Sus scrofa: one gene and its partners. The protein of the gene in region 2 purifies or fractionates together with the protein of the main gene of each other region. This does not show direct contact. Links are inferred from orthologs where the notes say so. Each region holds a gene or a part of one and is shown on either strand. Other genes may lie near its edges.

Evidence for each region.
Region 1: the proteins of DCAF4 (region 2) and CUL4A purify together in Homo sapiens (affinity purification with mass spectrometry; 8 studies listed by BioGRID and IntAct, counting the BioPlex papers as one, with this or other methods). This does not show direct contact. The link is inferred for Sus scrofa from reciprocal best matches to the Homo sapiens genes DCAF4 and CUL4A.
Region 3: the proteins of DCAF4 (region 2) and CUL4B purify together in Homo sapiens (affinity purification with mass spectrometry; 9 studies listed by BioGRID and IntAct, counting the BioPlex papers as one, with this or other methods). This does not show direct contact. The link is inferred for Sus scrofa from reciprocal best matches to the Homo sapiens genes DCAF4 and CUL4B.
Region 4: the proteins of DCAF4 (region 2) and COPS5 purify together in Homo sapiens (affinity purification with mass spectrometry; 4 studies listed by BioGRID and IntAct, counting the BioPlex papers as one, with this or other methods). This does not show direct contact. The link is inferred for Sus scrofa from reciprocal best matches to the Homo sapiens genes DCAF4 and COPS5.

Annotation. Positions count from the first base shown.
Region 1 is NC_010453.5:78,555,705-78,559,829, reverse strand, and holds the start of CUL4A (cullin-4A), read right to left. Parts: upstream 2,801-4,125; 5' UTR 2,619-2,800; coding exon 2,465-2,618; intron 1,893-2,464; coding exon 1,777-1,892; intron 1-1,776. Other genes in the region: PCID2 (PCI domain-containing protein 2), read left to right, coding at 3,120-3,155. UniProt on the Homo sapiens protein: Core component of multiple cullin-RING-based E3 ubiquitin-protein ligase complexes which mediate the ubiquitination of target proteins. As a scaffold protein may contribute to catalysis through positioning of the substrate and the ubiquitin-conjugating enzyme.
Region 2 is NC_010449.5:96,302,260-96,305,759, reverse strand, and holds part of DCAF4 (DDB1- and CUL4-associated factor 4), read right to left. Parts: intron 3,184-3,500; coding exon 3,083-3,183; intron 2,637-3,082; coding exon 2,479-2,636; intron 1,744-2,478; coding exon 1,661-1,743; intron 525-1,660; coding exon 422-524; intron 1-421. UniProt on the Homo sapiens protein: May function as a substrate receptor for CUL4-DDB1 E3 ubiquitin-protein ligase complex.
Region 3 is NC_010461.5:98,727,783-98,731,814, reverse strand, and holds the start of CUL4B (cullin-4B), read left to right. Parts: upstream 1-1,232; 5' UTR 1,233-1,367; intron 1,368-1,595; exon of another isoform or gene 1,596-1,700; coding exon of another isoform or gene 1,701-1,717; exon of another isoform or gene 1,718-1,957; intron 1,958-4,032. Other genes in the region: MCTS1 (malignant T-cell-amplified sequence 1), read right to left, coding at 1,701-1,717.
Region 4 is NC_010446.5:67,739,276-67,743,327, reverse strand, and holds the start of COPS5 (COP9 signalosome complex subunit 5), read right to left. Parts: upstream 2,801-4,052; 5' UTR 2,732-2,800; coding exon 2,322-2,731; intron 150-2,321; coding exon 1-149. UniProt on the Homo sapiens protein: Probable protease subunit of the COP9 signalosome complex (CSN), a complex involved in various cellular and developmental processes.

The DNA.
Region 1 (4,125 bases), on a different chromosome or scaffold from region 2:
GAGGGCGGTGAGGTCAGGGACGGGGGTGAGGGAGGGCGGTGAGGTCAGGGACGGGGGTGAGGGAGGGCGGTGAGGTCAGGGACGGGGGTGAGGGAGGGCGGTGAGGTCAGGGACGGGGGTGAGGGAGGGCGGTGAGGTCAGGGACGGGGGTGAGGGAGGGCGGTGAGGTCAGGGACGGGGGTGAGGGAGGGCGGTGAGGTCAGGGACGGGGGTGAGGGAGGGCGGTGAGGTCAGGGACGGGGGTGAGGGAGGGCGGTGAGGTCAGGGACGGGGGTGAGGGAGGGCGGTGAGGTCAGGGACGGGGGTGAGGGAGGGCGGTGAGGTCAGGGACGGGGGTGAGGGAGGGCGGTGAGGTCAGGGACTGGGGTGAGGGAGATGCTGAATTCAAGGGGGCCTCAGGGAACTCTGGATGATGGAAACACCCACTGTGGTCCCCAGTGTGCTGCTGGTTAGACTGTGGGGTACACCTGCTAAAACTTAACAAACTACATATTTCTACCTTATTAAAGGTGATTAAAACACCAAAAACTCTAAGGATGGTTATACAACTATAAATACAATAAAATTCAAAGAGTTTAAAAAAAATACAATAAATTCACACAAACTTGTGACAAAGAAGGGACATATGTCCCTCAAATTGTCAACGTTTTCTTTGGGTGGTGGGAGAATAGGTGATTTTTTTTTTTTTTTTTTTTTTTTTTGCTTTTTAGGGCTGCACGTGGGACATACTTGAGTTTCCAGGCTAGGGGTCAAATTAGAGCTGCAGCTGCCGGTCTACACCACAACCACAGCAACACCAGATCCAAGCTGTATCTGCAACCTACACCACAGCTCACAGCAACGCCGGATCCTTAACTCACTGGGCGAGGCCAGGGGTCGAACCCACAACCTCATGGTTCCTAGTCAGATCTGCTTCCGCTGCACAACAACGGTTTCTAATTTTGTTGGTTTTCAATTGTTTTCCTTGTATTTTTTATAGTTTCCATAATTTTACAATGTAATCACTTACAGAAAAAGAAAAAACTTAAAATCCAAGTCTCCTAATAGAAATTGTACTGTCATTACCTAAAACGTGGGTGATATTAGGCCCAGCTGACAAATTGTTAGTCTTTAAGATACCAGAAAAGAAAAACCAGTCTGCTTGTAAGTGGAATATCCAACCGTGAAACATACTTTCGACCATTTTTTCTTATGTTAGAACAAGAACATCATTAATTTAAATCAAATGAAACAAAACCTGTTTGCACATTTTAACCGCAATAATTAATCACAAAGTACAATGAAGACAGGGAAAATCTACAAGTGAAACTGTCATGAGAATTTTATATATAACGTAACTTGGAATTTTAATAACATTTGCTGCATATTTGGAAAACAGAGTCGCATGGCTCACAGAAACATATGGCTTTCCTGTGATGAATTAACTTTAAATGCCTTTCTAGACAGTTGAAGCCTGAAAAGAAAATAAAAATCCCACAAGCGCCAAAACCCGAAAATCCTCCTTGACCCTGGGGACGTCCTCTCGCAGAACTCCCACTGTTTCTGCCGGAGGCCTGTACTTGGATTTCTAGTATTTCCTTCGCTGAGACAATACTGAGGCCCACGGAATCCGCACCCGTGTCACATTTCGTGGAAGTGCACAACCGTGTGGTTTGGACAGCTGCAAAAAACGGTAAGTGAAAAACAAGATGCTGGCCCCCAGGCCTGGACGTTCTCCCTGAAGAAATTAGGTGAGAATCCTAAGGAGCCCCGCTGTTTGCAAAGGTGGAGTCTTACCTGGTAGAGCTCTTCCAGGTTGTATCTGATGGAGGTACTACTCTGTATGGCTTTCACCGCCTCGTGAAGCTTGTGCCAGGTGTCCTGAGTGTAGTTATCAGGCAACTTCGGTCTGTCTGTAAATCCAGAGACAGTGAGTGGGGAAGGGCATCATGCCAAGAGTCACACACCTTAAAAAAAAACTCTACAAAAAAGGACTCAAAGACACCTAGGTGACGAATACGGGCAGTAGCTCTTCCCCAAAGGAAGCACTGTGTTTACACCTTCCTTGGCTTAGAGACTATGTGACCACAATGTCTCTCTTTTGCTGGGTAAATACTTGCAGTGTTGATACTTAGGACACACACATGTAGTCTTCTAAGTAAGGAGACGTTACAAATAAACAAACATGGAATAGTTAAGCCCCGACCAGATTTAAAGTTGAGTTAAATTACTCAACGTCGGGAGGGAGGTCTGTGTGGGACGAAGACGCTTGCTCCCAGATAACGACAGTGACAGCGGAGAAAGTAATTAAATTAAGCGACATCACCCAGCGCTTCAGGGGCTGCCACTCGTTCTGGCTCGGCCTCGCCAACCACGACACCTGCGCTGCTTGGCCGAACTTAACTCCAGCCGAACCCTCCGTCCCGACGACACAGCCGCGGAGGGAAAGCGACCCCCGCCCGCCCCGCCGCGGCCCCGCACCCACCTCGGAAATTCTTGATCACGAGCTTCTTGGAGCCGCCGCTGCCCCCGGGCTTGGAGGTGACGGCGGCGGCGGCGAGGGACGCGGGCTTGGTGAGGCCGTTGGTGTGCCCGACGAGCGCCGAGAAGCTGCCCTTCCTGGGGGTCTCGTCGGCCATGGCCGCGGCCGCAGCGCCCCGCCCGGGCCTCCGCCCGCGCCCGCCTGTCCGCTCCCCCGGCTGCGCTCCCCGGTCCGGCCCGGCCCGGTCCAACCGCCGGATCCCGACGCCGACCGCGCGCCTCAGGCCTCGGGAGCGCGCCGGACCCCGACCCGACCTGACCCGGCCCGACCCGGCCCCGAGCTCGCGGGCGCCGCAGTCCGCTTCCGCCGCGGTCCGTGTGGAACCTCGCAGCAGGCGAGCGGCCGGCGGGCCTGGGCACCTGGGGCGCGGACGAGGCGGCCTCGCGAGCGGTTCGGGGAGTCGCAGCGCAGCCCCCAGCCCGCCTCAGCCCGGGCGCGCCGCCATGCCGGCCCGGGGCTCGCGTTCCCGCGCACAGGCTGCCTCCGGAACCAAGGTGCGCGGAGGGCGGGGGGCGCGGGGCCGGGACGGACCGCGGCCCGGAAGTGACGCAAGCAGGCGGCGACGGGCGCGCAGCTCCGCCGCACTGCAGGCGCGGCCATGGCGCACATCACCCTCAACCAGTACCTGCAGCAGGTAACGTTCGCCGACCATCGGGCCCCCTGCCGGTTGACCTCCCGCTTCCCTGAGCTGCGGCCCGGAGCGGGCTGGGGCCCGGGCGGGTCCGTTCGCCGGCTGCGCCGGAGCCTTTGGCCGCCAGACGGGAAGCAGGCGCCCTCACCGTGTACCCTGGGGGCTCGGGAGCCCCGGCGGCCGTGCCCTCAATTCAGGGGCGTGTGGGGACGGGGGACAGGCAGTGGTGGATGTAGGAGCCGGGGAAAGCAAGTGGTTCGACTGCAAGGGGGTTCTGTGTTGGCGCTCGGCGTACCTATGTCCTTTGGGATTTGTGTCTCTGAGGAGTTTTGTCTAAACAGGCTCCAAATGCAACGGGAGAGCGCAAATATGTTTTTGTGGATTCGAAGCTTGTAGTCTTTCCCCTGAGCCATGCTATTTCGCAGAACTAGAACCGTGGTAATCAGGACAGGGAAAGGGGGAGAGTGGGTTTTTAGAATATATGGAGACATTGCGGAGACTTGGTGAATAAGGCTGTGTGGTTGGAGAACAAACAGGAAGGAATTAAGAATGATTCCCAGGTTTCCAGCTGGGCAACACGTGAGCAGAACTGATTGGGAAGGAAAAATAAGTGTAGTTTTGGCCGTGTTGAGTTGGAGGCATCTGTTGACAACCAAGCCAAGCTATCTCTTTGGCAGTTGAATATAGTGTAACATGATTGGAACCATTAGTTGTTCAGTTAATTGAGAAAGTTGGTTAAGATAGGAATCATGGGGGAAAAAAAAAACAGATCCATGCTTTTATCTTAACTTAAAGGATATGTTCATTTCCAATCATTTGATTGAGACCTAAGACCTTTTCTTTAAGAACAGGTCTACTTTGGCCTTAGCTTTGCAGAGTTAACATTTTTCACTATCAGTTTTTATTTAAAGTCAAACAAGAACAGAGTTCCCGTCATGGCACAGTGGTTAATGAATCCGAGTAGGAACCATGA
Region 2 (3,500 bases):
TGTAGGCCCTGCTAACGAGGCCAGGCACAGAAAGCAAGAGACTAACACGCTGTTGCTACTGAAGGACAGTGAAGCTTCAGGGGTGGCCACCAAATCCTGCCCAGTATAGAAAGGATGAGAAGCCCCCGGTTCACTGTGGACCTTATCAATTGTGTACACAACATACCCAAGGGAAAGTCACTCTGTGATGGTTCTCAGTCAACGTGTGGTGGGCCCCAGCTCTAAAGTCAAATGATGAGCTGACGATGGTCACAGAACAGCCTGGCGTCTGCCAATGGGTAGCCGGTAGGTGTTTGTTAAAACCATAAAACCTATTTTATGGCTCTATGCAGCCAAGCTAGATGAAAACCAATGCTAAGCCACGAATCATCCATGAGACAGCAACCATACCCCTGGCAGCCAGAGAGCTCCCCCCACTCACCAGTATCAGGTTAAATCGGTCACTCGCCAAAGCGGAGGGATCTGAGCTCTGAATCTGGACCTTCTTCCTCTGCATGCAGCTTACTCGCAACTCATGGGCTAAACTGCAGATGAGAAAGAGGAGGGCGGGGGGTAGGGATGCCGTGCCCAGACATCTGTGGAGAAGATGCAGGGGTTCTGCTCTGCCCCACACCCGAAGACCGTCTTCTCTGGTCGGCCCTCTCCTCTCCACATGAAATGTCAGCAATGGAGCTGGGCAAGGCCCCAAAGAATCGCAATTTTAGAACTCTTAGGGAAACTAAGGCAAAGAAATGGGTGGCTCAATTGATCTTTCACTCAAAGAAAGTCAGAACTAGAACTAGAGGGATTTGTTTTGGATCAACAAGTGCAACTGTTGAGACAAAGAGAACAAGCCTGAGAAATGAGACAGCCACCCATCCCACTGCCCCTTTTCCTCCACCGAGGACCCAGTATGTTTCAGGGTGGAGAACAGATCTAACTAGACTTCTGACTCTGCCCTCTCAGAGGGAGGGAAATAGAGGAGAGTCGCATCCCTCCTGCCCCGGCTGATACGGCCTGCAGGTCTGATCTTCTCCCTGAAGGGGGCGCCTTGGTAAGCCACCCTAATTCGAGCTGTTTCTTCACGGGCCCAGGCACACAGGAGGCAGCAGGACGCAGGGGTGAGGCGCTCAGGCCTGGGAGGGAGACAGAGCCCACCCTTTCTAGCTCTGCCTTGAGCAAATCATTCCACTCTGAGTCTGCCTCTTCTGGGACCTGGGGAAGTACCCAGCCATCTCCCAGGGTTTTAGTTCAACTGTACCAGACATCACAAGTCTTTAAAGTTTAGTACACAACCATTTCATGTTCCATTTTTGGTGACAACTCATTAGAAAGGGAAAAGGAGGCAGAAGCCTGATGGGATGAAGTTAAAGGACATTTTACTAAACTAAAGATGATTTATAAGTAACTAAGAGGAAACATCTTGAGAAATTTCTACCGAATTTCTCTGCCTGGATTCCCTCTTCCTGGCCTCCTGCAAGAGCCTCCCCGCCTGGTCCAGAGGAAGGATTCGCCCAGGGCTGACTTTGGCAGCAGAAGGCAGGCTGTGAGTGGAAGCTCCTCCACTGTGAAGACTCCTCACAGAGTAGCTATGTGCTCTAGCCTGACTGGGTTCTTGGACCACAGAAATAGGAAAAAAAAACATTCATGAAGAAAACATAACAATGAGGCATTGTCTTACCGGCAATAACTGGTGACGTTGAGAAAACCCAGCCTGCTTTTTTGTAGCAAGGAAGATGCATTAAATCCCAACCTGGCTATTTTCTAAATTAAAAAGAGTAAAATTCAGTCAAGTTTTATGTTATCAGATAATGGGGTATGTTTATAATTCCACAGGATACAATGAAGAAACATGTACTAAGACTGTAGGAACTATATGCATAAAAATCTGATGGTCTCCTCTGTGAGTCTCCTCTCCTTGGAAAGAGGACAAGCCCATCACAAGAGAGTAGGTGTGAGCTGGGAAGTCTGCTCGGCACCGCTGTCTAGGCCTCCCATCGATTTCTTCCCGAGGAGATGAGGCCGCCGAGTTGCTGAGGGCAGGAATGGCACTGGACACTCAGGTCTGCATCGCGCTTCGCATTCAATCGATGGTGACTGTGGATTTTCCATTCCACTGCCCTCATATCTGCAAAATGTCCTGGCATCTAATCTGCAGAAAGGATCCTCATATTCAAACCACACACCCTGCTTTCCTATTTAAAATATATGGTTACAGAAGCTTTATCAGGCTGCTACTGAGTCGCCTGAGGAAGGACAAGACGTCAGAACTACTGATGAAATCCGGCAAAAAAGAAAAGGGTGGTGGTGGTGGGAGGAGATTTCTTGCCTTTTCTTATTCTCTTACCAGGTTCCTTTGGGGAACTTCAAGACACCACCCTCCCCAAAATGCGCTAAGCTGAGTGTTACAGGGGTGTTTAATTGGCACCTCCTGGTGGCCATGGGTGGACGCTGGCAGGAGTGGAGGGGACGGGCAGCCCCGGGGGGTGTGGCGCCCACCTTTCCCTGCCTGTCCTCTTCCTCTAGCAGCTGCAGCCTTTTGCTCTCCATTTCCTTCTGCCGGATGCTCTCCTTAGTGAGGGGGTTGCAGTTATTATGTCCCGGGAGCAAGCGGAAGTAGCGGTTCTTCTCAGGATCAAAGTAATAACCTGGCAGATCTTTAGTCAAAAAAAAAAAAAATCCAACTTACAAACCATGTGCTGAGCCACCCAGTGAGGAGCCCAGGGGCCTGTCCACCACCCCTCCTAGCCGCCACCGCCGCTCCTTCCTCAGAGGCAGGAGGTGGGCTGGCACTGCCAGTCACCATCCTGGGCCTAGTTCAGTCCCGGGGGGAGCAGCTTTTGCCTCGATCACCATTCCTGACACACCCGGCTCCTCCCTTTAGTGTTTCAATTTGCTTCCAGAAATTTCCTTCAAGCCAGGAATGGACTGATGACACACATGGAGTGTATCCACACAAGTGAAGACACACAGGGCCGAGGAGGAGGGCAGCTGGAAGGGACAGACCAGGGGACGAGGCAGGACGACGAGGAGGTTTCATCTTTCTCCATGGGCAGTCTCCATGGGCAGGGCTGGGGGAGCCCAGTCCAGCGGGCTGCCTTACCTGGCACAGAAGAACTGCCAGCTGAGCTGGATGAGGTGGAGGGGGCCTCGTCATCACTGCGGCTGGACCCCTGTGGGCTCTGCTGTGCCCCTGCGTTGTTCCTGTTGACACACAGCCAGGGTAACTTTTGCCAAGGGCCTGAGTCTCAGTCTTTCTTTGCCTCTGGGTCTTGCAGTTCCATAGCCTTCACCCCTGAACCTCTCACACTGGATTATTTGGGGAGCACTGACCCCTCTTTTCCTTGGTAGCAGTTTACCTACTGCAGACAGACCCAAGTTAGGGCAAGGTTTTGGTTTCTCAACCTTAAGAGGATGCATGTCACAGTAGTTCCCCTTTCATATCTCCTCATTTGAGCATTTGGGGAGGTCTTTTGGAATTTTCCAGATGAAAATGAGAACAGAAATCTTGGCCAATAAGA
Region 3 (4,032 bases), on a different chromosome or scaffold from region 2:
CTTGTTAGATAATAAAACAAATCTCTAAAGTACAAACTGAAATAAATCCAACTCTGAATAAAAACATTTAATTAACTCTAACAAAATAATCAGTACACAAAGCCACATTTTTCACAAACATAAAAAATTTTTAAAATACAAATAGTGATAAGTTTTATTCATTTAGAGTAGATAGTTGTGAAAATAATTACATTATAGGGCAATCTAATCATGCAATAAATCTAATCATACAATATTCAGCTTCTCTGAGCTTTACACAGAAAAAAAGACTGACCATCTCACTATTTTGACAGGATCTTTCTTAGGCATGATTTGATTAAGCCATGGTTCAATACCTGGAAATTGCTCTATCAATTGATTCTTAATACCCTTTATAACTGAGGTTTTCAACTGGATGAAGTTGGACACATTTTCTTTTTCATCAAATCTGCCAAATGATTTTTGCAAGGAAAAAAAGGCATTTCTAAGAAGACATATCAGAATAGCTAGAGGTATTGTTTTAATTAGTCACCTATTTCCAAGCAAGTATTTAGATGCCTAAAATAATTATGAAATAAATTGTTTTTAAGATACTATTTCCCTTTTATTCTGTCCTGCACAATACCAACGTCTTAATAAAATATTTAAATAAACTGTCATACGTACACAATTAGCAGAGGGACGAGGGAAAGGATATGAAGCATATTTCATATCATAGTCTGTAATCAGCTACACAAATGCCTTTCCTGGAAAATCTTACTCAACTCTACCCAGGAAGAAACTGATTCCCACCTATAACAAAACCCGTGTAAAAAAATCAAAAGCAAAACAAAATAAAATGAAAATACCCTTAAGCGTTAAGATACAAAAGCCCAACTTAATTATAACAGAAAATCAGCCCCTCCTAGGCTCTGTAATCTGCTGAGATTTTTTTCTAAAGTGATGACGACGATGGTATTTAAGATCCCTATTTATTTTTGCTCAAAACGTCGTGCACAAAACCACCTTCCTTTGCCCACGTTCCCCCTGTGCTTTTTGCGTCTATCAAAACTGGAAGGCAATCTCACTAGGTAGGTTCCCAAAGAACTTTTGTCTTCCTTACGCTCAATAGCCTATGCGGCAATCACGGTATTTTCAAAACAAAGTTAATCTGGCAGCTAGGCAATAGGCATGACAGGCCGCTAGCTTCCTGTCACCCAGACTCCTTCACTCCCATGACCCAGGAAGTCAAGCCTTCCCTTATTCGGTTCATAACTAATAACCACATGGCAGTGAGTGCAGGGCTCAGCTCTCGGCTAAAGAGCTTATGTCCCTAAATCACAGTACAAGGATGTGATTGGTAGAATCCTTGGGATGGAGATAGGATTGGGAGAAAAAGTAAAAGAGAGGTAAGGAGAAAGAAAATGAGGGTGGGAGGACCGAAACCCATTTGAGGACTGGATGAAAGGCTTAAAGAAGTGTTGCAAGTTGCGAGTTGAGAGCATAGGACTATAGAAAACCTTAGGGAGTAAGGATGGCTGGGGCTGGGAAGAGAGAAAGGGAATTTTTGCTCTCGCCCTCTTCCCCACCCCCACCCCCTTTGTGAGCATACGATGGAGGCCACAGTATGTCCTTACTTCTTGAACATGATCCAAGGTGAAGAGGGCGACGATAGGGAAGGGCCCAGAACGGGGCGGGGGCGGGGGGGACTGAATTAGCAAGGGTCCCGCAGGTTCCCTTACACGAGGAAGGCCGGCATTGACAGTCGGAGCTGTTGTCGTTATCCGGAAAGGCAGACAGCCAGCCTCACTTTAAGGTTCTTAGTGAAATTTGACTACTTCCGCTTCTCTAAATACGTCGGCGCTTTTGCCGGCCCTTTTTGGGTTACCGATCCCTATCCAGAGCGGGTAACTGAAGGGCGGGACTTGAAAAGGAAGAAGAGCTAGAGCAATCATCCTAGTAGCAGGAAGAGAAGAATGGAGTGGGCGGGGCAATCAATCAAGGTACTATTTAAACCCGTTGCGTCACTACGGATTCCTCAAAGGGTCAAGGTTCTTCCGTGTATCGTTGCTACCTGCTGTCAAACAATTTTTTAGTGGGAATGATTTTTGTTTCCCGAAACAACCGAAAGGATTGGTGCTTACCGACCAGCATGAATCTTGGCAAGCCTCTTGACATCATGCTAATGTAGTGGTGGGCTTGCCGAGTTTAGCAAATAAAAATACAGGACACCCTGTACAGGACATTTGGATTTCAGATAAAAATGAATATATTTTCTAGTATAAACTATACCTCATTCAATATTTGGGAAATACTTTATTCCAAAAAAGAAAATTTGCTTGCCTTCTGAATTTAAGTGGGCATCCTGTATTTTAATCGGGGAGCCATACTCACTGGCCAAAGAGAGGTGCCTCCAAAGAATTCACTAGGTTGTGGTCCCCTGCTTCACCCTCATAACCATAAGTTGAGCTTTAAATCAAGAGAACTTCTTGGAGTTCCCTTCGTGGCTCAGTGGTTAACAAACCCGACTAGCATCCATGAGGTCACGGGTTCGATCCCTGGCCTCGCTCAGTGGGTAAAGGATCCAGCGTTAGCGTGAGCTGTGATGTAGGTCGCAGACACGGCTCAAATCCCACGAAGGACTGGCGGCTACAGCTTCTCTTCGACCCCTAGCCTGAGAACCTCCATATACCTGGGAACCTCCACGTGCCGTGGGTGCGGCCCTAAAGAGATAAAAAGACAAAAAGTAAAATAAAAAAAGAGAAATACCTTACTTAAACGATCGAATGTCCTCTAGGCAATCAATGCTAGACTAACTGATTGAAGAAATAACAGCTAAAGAAACACGTTTTACTTATGCAATTTTTTTTGTCTTCTTTTTTGAGGGCCCACAGCATATGGAGGTTCCCAGGCTAGGGGTCTAATCAGAGCTGTAGCTGCCGGCCTGCACCACAGGTCACGGCAATGCTGGATCCTTAACCCACTGAGTAAGGTCAGGGATGGAACCCACAACTCATGGTTCCTAGTTGGATTCGTTTCCGTTGCACCACAACAGGAACTCCCTACTTATGTAATTTTTAAAAGTAGATCAAATCAAGGGTTTTGATCAGCAAAGAAAGCATGGAAAAATACAAAACCTGAACAGGTACTACCTAGGCAGTGGGGTAGGTGTGAAGGGATCTGTAAAATAAATACACCCCTGTCTCTCCAGGGAGCAAATACTCTAGTCTGTACTGGGGAGATGGCCATTTGGGTTGTGTTTGAATTGTACAACCAACTCAACTTGCCTTGATTCCATGGTAGCAACACACTTCTGATTATAATTTAGCTTCTCGTGAGGTTCTGCACAGAAAGAATTTGCTGTTTTCAAATTATATCCCTGTGAACAATTGTTTGGCTTTGTAAATTAGTCATTTAGGATGTTGTTTTCTGCATCAATCTCTTGTGAATGTTCTGAGAGTGAATCCACATTCCCAGCATCAATCAACTCTGTGACATTTAAAGTATTGTTGATGAACATGCAAAACTGAATCCCAGACTCCAACCTGTGATTCGTGCTACACTATTGGGCTTCTTACCAGAAAGGAGAGCTTTCCTCTCCTGGCAACTCTCACATCACCCTGGGAGCCTACCATGTAACAGTAGCTACATTATAACAGCCATAAACAAGGTATTATTAAGGGGTTTGAGGTAAGTGAAAATAGATATTTTATATTCAATCTATACATAATAACACTTTAGTAATAGCTATGTATTACACTAGTAAATAAAAGTTAACTTGATGGACCCCCAAATTAATAACATCTAGATGGACTTCCTAATTTATTGAACTTTTTGAGAAACCTACTAATTTTAGATTTACTAAAAATTAACACAACATTGTTAAGTCAATTACAAGTCAATAAAAATTTTTAAAGATGAAAAGTAAATAAAAAGTATTATGCTGAGTATTTGCAGTGCTAGAAATAATAGCTAACTTTTCATGCTCTAAGAATTATACATACTCTAAATTATGACAAATCCCACATGCATGGAATTAGCTAATTGCTACATGTGCATACATATTTTAATCCA
Region 4 (4,052 bases), on a different chromosome or scaffold from region 2:
AAGCAAAACTGTCCATAATGATCATGGTTTCACCATCCACCTTTCCCAGCATCAAGCCCATCACTTCCAAGTTGCCTCCTGATCTGGCATGCATCACCATTTTCAGCAGAGCCAATGCTGAGATTTTGCAGTACTTAAAGTAATGGTGACTACAAAACAAAAGCATGGTGTAATTAACTTTCTTACATAAAGTAGAATTTCAAGACAGTTTTTGTGGAGATTAACAAGCATTGAGGGAATTAACACTGATAGAATGGGGAGGAAGAGTGTAGAATGGAAAGAAGGAGGAAGTAGAAAAGGGAGATGGAAACACATCATAACCTTGCAAGGTATTTCCCACTGGGGAAAGGGAACACTATGAAATAGTGGGCATTTATTTTGGCCACACCCATAGTATGCAGATGTTTCTGGGCCAGGGATTGAACCCAAGGCACAGCAGTGACAATGCTGGATCCTTAATCTGCTGAGCCACCAGAGAACTTCTGAAAAAGTTTTTTAATATGCTATTCTTACATGACCACTTCAGTAGACTTTTTCTCCATTAATTTTGGTATCACCAAATCTTTTTAAATTTAGAGTTGATTTACAAGGTTGTGCCAAATTTTGGTTTCTGACTGGTTGGATGGATTTACCTCATTATTCTCAGGCCCTAACGTTTTGGCCTAACAGTTAAGAATGTGGGCTCTGGAGTTCCTATTGCAGCTCAGTGGTAACAAACTTGACTAATATCTATGAGGATGTGGGTTCGATTTTTGGCCTCGCCCAGTGGGTTAAGGATCTGGCATTGCCATGATGTACTACATATACTGTGGAATGATCACCACAGTAGGTGTGATCGAAGATGTGGCTCAGATCTGGTGTTGCTGAGGCTATGGTGTAGAATGGCAGCTGTAGCTCTGATTCCACCCCTAGCCCAGGAACTTCCGTATGCCATGGGTGTGCCCCCTCCAAAAAAATGTGGGCTCTGACATCCATCTGCCTACCTTTGCATCCTTGCACTACCATGTCCTAGCTGTGACCTTGAGACATTCACTTAATTCTGTGCCTGTTTCCTTATCTATAAATAGGGATATTTCACAGGGCTGTTGCTAGGAGGAAATGAAGTAAATGAAATAATGTATATAAGGTACTTAGCCTAGTGCCTGACACATACTAAAACTTTTTAAATGCTAGCTGTTGTTAGCATTATCAACCTATCTTTTACAGAACTCTCAAAGAAGTCTGTTGAGGGCTGTGGCTTCTTTCTGTGGTATCAGCCTCAAAATGGAAAATGTAGCCTTATCTTTAGTTCTGCTATGATCACTGTTTAAGTTTTTCATCTGTGGTTGTGACTAAACTACTGTTGAATAAAATTACATTTTGGTCTCACTGATGTGGCTCAAGACAGCTAGGTTGTATATAACTAGAGATACAATCACACAGCGAGGCTAATAGTTTCCAAATATTTAATAGGCTCTATCAACCTAAAATGCACAGCCTGCTATAGAAAGAGCAGGTGAGGCAAACCAACTCAGTGCTCAGTCCTTAGTAAGTACTCAATAAACATTGCTGAATCTGAATAATGACAATTAAAGCTTGCCTTGTGGGACAGATGAAGCATGGTTTTTGTTGTTGACCACCGCTTTCCCATCTATCTCTCTGTTAGAGACGGTGCTCTTTTAACTCTATCTCTAACAATATCTGCTCTCAGGAAAGGATAAATGCTGTGGGAAAGAATCCTCGATCTGTCATCACTCTCAGGGACACAGCTGTTTTGCTAAATGGCAAAGAACTCTATTGATTTAATTTGTAGCTTATGTGAACTTGCTAACATTTTGGGAGACTAAGTAGAACCTCGCGGTGTTTCTAAAATAATTACCAGCAATCGAAAAACAATTACAGATCTAAACGATGGCTTTTAATTAAAGACCGTTGGGCTGGCTCAATTTCTGAAGACAGCTACAGTCTCCAGTCTAAGATCTGCTGCAAGTCCCAACAAAGTGTATACCGACACAGGATTCAAGGCAGAGTGTGTAGCATACGTGACGGTATGGGTGTTGAGGAGTAAAAGCCCAAATCACCGCTTGCCGTTTTCCTTTTCCATTCTCCCGAGGCAAACGGGTTAAAGAGACAGAAAGGGGAGTCAAGCGAGCCCCAAAGGAGGGACTTACGCTCAACTTGCGCGGATAAAAAGGCAAAGCAAAAATTCTCAGACGCTTACTCTTCCTCTTCCCTGCACAAGAAAAGACAAGCCCAGTCCCCGCTTCAGCTCCCACCCCTACTGGGTCTCTTAAACTCCCGCCACCCTTCCCTCCCCAGCATTTCGCCAGGGACCTCCTCACTCCTTAGTCCAGGGTTTCGCCGCCAGGATTTCTTGCTGCTGTTTTTTGTCGTATTTGTAGATTTCATCGATACTCTGGGCTTCCTGCATGTTGTTGGCTAATTCCCACGTTTTCTGGGCCATACCACTCCCAGAAGCCGCCATCGCAGAGGATTCGGAGAAGTTGTTGCCCCTACAACCAAGACGCAACTTCAACCTCGCTAGGTTTCCGGGTGTGGGCTTCAGACCCACCCCACCGCAGGTGCAAACTGGTACTAGACTCTCGAGGCAGCCATGACACCTAGAACCGGAGGTGAAGTTGGTACCGACCATTCGAGGATGGCGGGGGTCCTTCCGGAACGCGACGGTGTAAACAGCAGTTACACAATAGTTAGAGACAGAGGAATCTCCTTGTGGATTAAATGAAGACATATTATCTTGGAAAATTATATGTGTGAATTAAGACAAAAACAGCGTTTATGTAAGGAATGGTATAGCCTTCCGCACCGGAAGAAGGGCATGTAACGTTATGCCAGAAAACGAATTGACCTTCCTTGTTCGTACTGCGCAGGCTCGGCCTCCGCCATATTAAAAATAGATCCTTAAACGGGGATGGGAGAAAGAATTGTTTTTATGTAGGTGCAGGTACTTTAAATGCAGTAAGTTTGTTGAAAGACTTAAAAAAAAAAAAGGATGTCTGGAAAAATTGAGATAAATAGTTCTGAATGCTGGCTTTGAGAGAATACATGACATCCTAGTTTACTTTCAGATGAATCACCGCACATGTGTAAAATCCTATGGGCTCGTGGTTGGGCACTAAGCTTCTCTTGGGCGTTCTCTAGCGATCATATGAAGCTGTGGAAACTCGTGGATGGCTACGGTCATGCCTTGGTGTGTTTGTAAAAATTAACATCTCTAGGCGCTATTAATGTCCCGAAAATGTCCAGTACCCAGTTGCTATAATAGTTTACAGTTTAATCTTCTGCATTGCTCTGTGGAACTAACTCTGCTCCGAGACTGAATTAATCTAGGGGGAGTATTGGTTGTCATCCAAGAGTTCAAACGGTATTTAATTATTTCATTATTTGCTTGTTTTAGTTATTCTCCCCCCCCCCCCGCATTAGATTCTAAGTTCCAAAACACAGGGACCAGGTGTGCTCCTTGTTGTATCCTCAATGTCTACCATAGATGTTCAATTTTTTTCCCCCTGGGGGAAAAGGGGAGGGGGGGCATCACAATTCACCTCTCCAGTTTCATCTTTCTTTAGTTACCCTGAAACTTTGCATAAGGTGGCTAGCATTGCCTGAAAAGCTCTCCCCTGACTTTTCGGACTGGGAGTTTAAACTTACATTTAAAAACACAGCTCAGAGCTCTCTGCCACGCAATCCTTCTTAACTTTTCTCTCTCCAGTAATCCTTCTGCCGTGTCTCTAAATGCCTGTAGGTGCTTGCATAACTGTTACAGTGCAAGGAAATAATGTATTTGTTTACCTGGAAGTTTTTCTTTTCACTCTCAGTTTCAGAGTGCAGGGCACTTGGTTCTGAGCTGTATCCTCCACTCCTAGAAAGCTGTGTGACATTTAGTTAAGACAACATTAGTATTATGGAATCCACAACTCCGCCTGTGGTTTTGACATTAAATTCCATTTGAAGAAAATTTATCTTTCAAGCCCTCGTACAAACTAACAAGATAAAGGTCACTTAGTTCCACTGTCCCGGGAATCTAGATATCTCTTTTCTAGTGGTAGCATATG